Linked DNA regions of Coturnix japonica. The protein of the gene in region 1 purifies or fractionates together with the protein of each later gene. This does not show direct contact. Links are inferred from orthologs where the notes say so. Each region holds a gene or a part of one and is shown on either strand. Other genes may lie near its edges.

Region 1 (3,392 bases):
AATAACACAGCAATAGCTCAGCATGGCCCCAAGGAGTGCACGGGGAATAAATACAGGGAGGACTGAGATACCCAGATAGTGCCGTGGTAATGGCTGATAAGTGCCTTGAACAGATTGAGTGGGTAGAAATTGAGATTGAAAGACAAGGAAACTGCTGAACCGATTGTGATCAGCATCAGAGAGCTCATCTGGCAAAACTCCCAGCCCCGATAGGAAATCTGAGAGGGGTTACAACATCCCCTCCCCCCTCGCCAGCTACTGGGTCTCTGCCTGTCTTGGGAGAACCTTTGTACAGCTCCTGCCCTGACGGCTCTCTCCTTGATAGGCATCTGGAAGCATGAGACGAGTTGCACGTCCTGCTGGATGCGAGTGCGAGGAAAGGCCTTAGTGTGGTTTGCTCTGCTTTGTTAGCTCATGGCCACCACCTGAAAACTGCAAGGATGCAGAGAGACTGTGGGGACACACACAGAGGGCTTCCCTCTCTTCCTGGGCTGCTGAGATGACAGGAGAATGGCAGAATTAAGGATGAAACATTTCTATTTACACAGTGAAAAAGAAACAACAAAATGGGTGTATTATTTTGCTCTGATTCCAACAGGAAAAAAAACCAACCTCAAGAAAACAACCCCCCCACCCTCGTGTGGGTTACAGCTTGGAGCACAGTGCTTGCAAAAGTGCAGACACACTTAAGAGTATCCCCTACTTTAAGGCAGGTGGGAAGGCAATGGCTGAAGGCAGAGAGGAAAGCAGGCCATGTAATGAAGGCAACCAGCAATGCAGCTTTGGAATAAATCCTCCAGGTGCGTCTTTAGCAAGAAGAGCATCGAGGAGTGTGCTGGGAGTGAGCCCCGTGTGTGCCAGCTTCTGCCCACAGATGATGTGCAGCTGGAGGAAAAGCTCTGTTGATTTCTAGCAGGCAGACTGCTCAGCATCAGTCCTCTTCTGCGTAGTGCATCCTGCTGCGTGCCTTGTGCAAACCCCAAACTCTCATTGCCCTGAGGGTCATGGGGCCGCAATCCCAATGGCTTTGCTCAGCCTCTGGGAGGCTCAGGCTTATGGCTGGGTGCAGCAGGAGCAGATTTAGCAGAGTTGTCCCCAGGTTTGGCACTGAGGGAGTTCAGAGCGAGGCAGCAAGCGGTGGAGCCCCGTGCTAATGGCCTCCTGCATCTGGCAGCTGGGAAGCATACAGGGCTAGTGTGTGATGGAGAAACTGGTACTGCTCACTGGTCTGGATCATCCCGCCTCTGCAAAGGAAATGCTGACACTCACCAAAACCCCAGCCCTGCTCCCATGGCACAGACATTCCTGTGTCACCCACCCCGTCTTTATGCACCCAGAGCTCCTCAAAGAGTGTCTGGCCATGTTTCAGAGGTCAGTGGCTGAGCTGGAAGGAGCACAACAGCTGATGGGTTCGGGGCTGCTCTCCTTCATGACTTTGGGTTCCCAGAGCTAAAATAACCCTGACAACAAAACCAATCCAGCACTGGGTAATCCTTTGTTGTCCCCACATCTCCATCTTTCAGAAAGCCTTCCATTTTCTACCACAAATCACCTCCACACCTCCTTGGGATGCTCATCCCTGTAACCTCCCGCATCCCTCCTGCATCCAGCAGCATCCTCCAGGGACACCTGCCTGAGCACCAACCTGTCAATGCGGAGGCGGCACACGATTCCCAGGATGTCCACATCTCCCTTGTCCTTCAGCTGCTGGCACCCAATCCTGGTAGCAATGAAGCAGCCCGTCCGACCAATGCCTGCACTGCAGATGGACACAGCTGTGCTGAGCACCCACAGCGCCTGGACCTTAGGCCTTCTGAGCTGGGTGTGCTCCTTGGCTGCTTTGCTACCCTGATTTATCCCTATAGGGATGCAGAGGTCCCAGTCCCAGCTTTCTCAGGCTAGCCCCATTCTGCCACCACAAGTGCTTCTTGCCATACTGCTCAGCCCACCTGCAACCACTCTGGAAGCACAAAACCAGTCTGTGCCTCTGTCCTATGCTGGGGGACACCTGCTGGGGGTTTGCTGTGCCCTGGGATTTCTGCATGGAGAATGGATCATGGGTGTGAGCCCAAGCTGGGGAGCAGGGGTGAGGGCTGAGCACTTACCTGCAGTGCACAACAATGGGCCCCAAGCTGGCTGCAGCCTGCAGAGTCTCTTCCACTTTGGACACCAAGTGCAGCAGGGGCTTGGCTGACTCAGGTGTCTGCTGGTCTGGCCACGAAGGGAAGAGGATGTGTTTGATGTGGCGGCATTCACCTTCCAGCTTTTCCAGCACAGAAGAAAGAGAAATAAAGATGAGATGGGGTCAGATGGAGATGTTCCCATCCTGTGTGCCCAGCCTGTGCCCACCTCATCTGCTCTCCTCCTTGACTCATTGAGTCTTTACCAGAGACCCAGGGAGCAAGGGACACTTTTGGGTGTCTGAGTGATGTACTGAGGAGAGTTCCAGTCATGCCCAGGAGCCCCACTTAATTTCCATGCTGACACCCAAGGCTCATCCTGCACAAGTCTTGTTTCATGCAAACCTCATTGAGCAGACAGAGCTCTGCAGATTCCTCCTCCTACAGAGCCTGGGCATTTCAGGTTTCCACCAGGTGCTGAATACCCTGCTGACCCCAGGACGGGGCTTGGACCCACCTGGATGGACAGATTGCGGACCACGTACTCTGCACACTCGTTAATCCCCTGCACACGGATGGTGAAGGGGCCGTAGGTGCCTTCCTTCTCAGGCCAATAGTGGACACATTTCTGCAGGAAGAAAGCAGTATTTGTGCTCTGGGCACCCTCTGCGGTCTAAGCTATCCTTTGGACATTGCTTTTGTGAGGTCTGGAGAAGCGAGGAAGGTGGATGTGGACTGATAAAAGGGAAGATAAGGAAGGACAGATCCCGCTTCCAACACTTGCTTCCCCTGCACACTTTACCCACACCCTGCCATGTGATTTTCAGCCCCTGGGGAGCTACACCTTTGCCCATCCATGTCCTGCTAGATCCAGGTGAAAGGTGCAGGTAAACGCCCTGAGGGATGCTCCAGCAGCCAGGGAGCAATGGGGCAAAAAATAGGGCCAGGTGAGTGTGTGAGCTCCCACTGTTCCTGGAGCATGGAGCCAGCAATCCCAGCAAGGTGCAGTGCAGCCACCACACAGGGCACAGCTGCTAGTTCCCATCACCTGGATCTGTATCTGGGAGCTCCCAGAGGCTGCCCTGTTTCTTTTTATCCTATTATTCATCTAGCAAAGCACATCCAGAGCAAGTGAAGTTGATGGAGAAGAGGAGGCTTTGCTAGATGGGGTCCAAGTTGCAGCCCAGGGACTCTCCTCCAAGAAGGTGCCCTCTGAGGGCAAAGCTCAGCCCCACCTTTGATCTCACACCATCCCACTGCTGCTGTTATTCT
Region 2 (3,656 bases), about 210 kb from region 1:
GTAGCAGATCAGTGCGCTAATTCCCACAGCACTGGCCAATAAAACAAGCTGGAAGAGTCCATTAGCATGGGGCATCCCAGTAATTTGTGCTGAATTTCACAGCTGATTCAAAATAATGACAAATCAAGGCAGCAAAATTCCTACAATAGCCTGGGAAAGGAAGGGAGATGCAAAAGACTTTTCTTGCAATCTCCAGAGAAGTTACCTACACATCATTGAATTCTTCCAGAGACTTGGCAGGGGTGAACACATCCAGCAAGCCGATCACCTGGAAAAACAAAGTGAAAAAGTCACGAAAAACATTAATCATCTGAATGATACAGTCAGTAAGGTCCTTTGTGGAACAGAAACTACTCCTTCCAACAGATGTTTCATTTCCAACTATATGAATCATTTGGATGTAAGCAAATGAGTATTTGTACAAGGTCAGAAACAAGCATTCAAATACTAAGTAAAAAAAAAAAAAAAAAAAAGATAGTCAAAATATACAGCTGTCTTTTACACCAACCATCTACTTACAACATCAAGCAGGAGCCACAGCAAGCCAAGGCAATAAAAGGCAAGTGTCAGCACTGGTTAAAAATACCTTATTTAAAACCCAGCTGAAGTTTGGTGAGTAAATAAATGGATGAGCAAACACGAGGCAGAAATCAGTTTGCTTCCTGCTAGGTTCTTAGTTGTGCTGTTGACTATATACTAGATCAGCAGCAGGAGACTTTTTTTCACTCGCACTGAGTAATAGCTAGAGGAAGGAAACCACCAATAATCTCTGCTGAAAGCAACAAATAATGTCTACACTGGAAAATAAGAAGTGAAATGAGTCTCAAAAACAGCATGCTGCATCACAGAGCCAAATTTCACTAAGAGCTGAGAGCTTCACACTGCCATTTATATCTGCTGCCCTAAGAGTCTCCACTCTACCCCTCATTTTCACAGCTAAGCTGTTCCAGCAGTGGAGAGCAAAAGGGAACGTATGTGTTACCTCATGGAAATGCACAATTATACCTCATCACTCTGTAGGCAATAAGGAATAGGTCATGGACATTTCATTTGGAAAACAATCCATCTGGTCCATAAAATTGTTTGAATTTCCACTGAGATTTGCTTTTAAAAATTATCCTTCTCTTAACAGCACAGCATTACTTAGGATTATGAAATAAAGGTACAGACTCCTTCCTCCTATTTTAGGCTTGCATCTCACCTGCCTTGGATTCATTCGCATCACACACATTTCAGTAACTTCAGCAGTGGTTCAAACATACATATTAAACAAAGTGTTGGATGCCAACGTTCCCTTTCAGCACATATTAATACCATCAATTGCAATTGTTAAGGATGACAAAATCAACCTTTTACCATTAACATCCATGCTTCAAAATAACTCCTATGCTTTCTTTGCTCTGTGGACTTCTCCATGCCAACGTTTACAAAAATTATGCAACATTATCCTCCCAGTTTAGCAGTAAAAAAAAACCAAAAACTGACCTTGTTACCAAGATTTCCATTTCCTCCCTTACCATTTCCATCTTGCTACAGTGTAAAGCACACTACTGAACTATCCATATATTTCTCACTGACTAGTTTCACACACAAATGCAATTACTCTGTAGCACAACACTGACAGTTCTAACCATACTGGTCATCCCCAGACCAAGAATCAGCTCCTGAATTTCTGCACTCCCCTTCAATTTTAGGTTGTTAACTTCTTCATACAACACTAAAGTTGACTCTCACACCTGCTCAGTATTCTGCCTTATGTAAGCTAATGAGGCCTCCTGGAGCCTGAACATATAACAGAACCATGCTTGACTGCTCCACAGGCCGATTTATTTGTTCAAGATCAACACAATCAGTCTAGATATAGAACAGAAAACCATCCCTGCTCAAGATCCTTGAAACATTGTACCTACCACATTTGCTGAAGTGTTCTACGTCATGTAAAGCAGGGTATTTTACTTCCAAACTGAGATCTGAATAGACAGCTCGCTTGAACTAACCAGCCTACCTGAACTGGCTCTGAGCATCTTCACATCTGCAAGATTTTAAACCACACCCAGATAAAAATCCCACAGACAGCAGTATGATGAACTGACAGTAAACACTTCTATATACAAAAAAATTCTAACAATATAATCTTATCTCCTACTCTCAAAGCTACACATGCACTTCACGACACTATTCAAAAGTATTAATGAACACCAGACACAGAGCTGCTGTAGCACCAGGCTAATTCCCACTGTGGAACCATAGAATCATAGAAATCTAACCCAATTAGCTCAGACAGAATGGATCAATGTGCTGATGCAGAGATACATCTAAACACATTCTCCAAACAGTTCCAGAGCAAAGCTTTGAATATATTTCTGGTATGAGAAAAGGTAGAGAAAAAAAAAAACCTCAGGGGGATGGATATTAAGCAGGATCGATGGATGGCTGCCTCTGTTACTCAGATAACAGCATCACATAGAGGCACTGAGGAAGTACTGCTGAGTTCAGGCTGCGCGTGCACCAAAAGGTCCAATTACATCAGCCACACTGTCAACACAAACAAGATTCAAGCAATACCATCTGCTTGCTGTGGCAGAAAGAAGCCACGGCACAAAACCACCACTGCCACAAAAGAAGTTCTGATCCGACCATTCAGGGAGAAGCTCCCATCAAAATTGGGCTTGCTTGTTGCGTTAAAAACACTAGGCTTGCTCAGTCCACTTCTAAATCAGTATTTCCCTTCTGCTACATTGGAGTTCACTTGTACAAAAATTAAGAGCCTTCCTTTTCTCTTGATGTTGACAGCTCTAAAGAAGGCAAGATAATTTTTGCTCAATTGCAGGCAATATTTTCTCTGAACAGCATGCGATATAAATATACCAGTGTGTTAATGCCACAAACACAAAGAACTGCTCAAGTGGTTTCCACAGCAAATGGAAGTTAAACAGAAAAAAATGATTAGACAGCATATAGCATAGCTTAGTATAAGCATTCATGGTCTGTGTTGTTGAAATGGATGGCTTACAAGAACAGATGTCTGATATCTTCCCCTCCCCTTTTTTATTCCTGTTCATCTACAGGAATCTAGTGAACAACTGCTCCAACCCTTTCTGACATGATGACACAAAGCAAGAAAGAAAGCCTTCCATCACGATTCACTGTCTACTGCAAGCTATGTACTTACTATCTGAAAAACCTGTGCAATCAGCCTGGAATGCAATCACACCAGGTAGCCCAGCTTCTCATATAATCTCCTTCTACTTACATTTTCATGTTTCATGTGCTTCAGTAGCCGTAGCTCTCGGTAGGTCCTTTTGGCATGGATGATAGACTGAAATGGTCGGGACAGCTTCTTTACAGCCACTCGCAACCCAGTTTTTGTGTCAAAGGCAGAACTACAACAAAGAGTAATCAAATAGTCAAAATGAATCACTTATAAACACCCTCAAATCCATTTAGCAACTACAAATAGAGGCTGCGCAGGCACTGAGTCACACAGCCGATTCCATTTCTCCCTCTCCACCACCAATAACATCCAGGCTTCCTGGCCTGCAACCTGGCTGCAAATTCCCACACACAGATATAAATGCTGGGTTTTACTGATAGCGTTTCTAAGATGAATGTTGTTCACCTACTTAGGGGAAAATAGTATCTTCAAAAAGTAATTT

The links. Proteins that work in one complex are often made in the same cells at the same time.
Region 2: the proteins of PTPN7 (region 1) and MAPK14 purify together in Homo sapiens (affinity purification with mass spectrometry; 3 studies listed by BioGRID and IntAct, with this or other methods). This does not show direct contact. The link is inferred for Coturnix japonica from reciprocal best matches to the Homo sapiens genes PTPN7 and MAPK14.

The regions. Positions count from the first base shown.
Region 1 is NC_029541.1:733,956-737,347, forward strand, and holds the end of PTPN7 (tyrosine-protein phosphatase non-receptor type 7), read right to left. Parts: intron 2,749-3,392; coding exon 2,638-2,748; intron 2,264-2,637; coding exon 2,106-2,263; intron 1,760-2,105; coding exon 1,646-1,759; intron 1,245-1,645; coding exon 1,151-1,244; 3' UTR 520-1,150; downstream 1-519. UniProt on the Homo sapiens protein: Protein phosphatase that acts preferentially on tyrosine-phosphorylated MAPK1. Plays a role in the regulation of T and B-lymphocyte development and signal transduction.
Region 2 is NC_029541.1:528,178-531,833, reverse strand, and holds part of MAPK14 (mitogen-activated protein kinase 14), read right to left. Parts: intron 3,384-3,656; coding exon 3,254-3,383; intron 269-3,253; coding exon 210-268; intron 1-209. UniProt on the Homo sapiens protein: Serine/threonine kinase which acts as an essential component of the MAP kinase signal transduction pathway.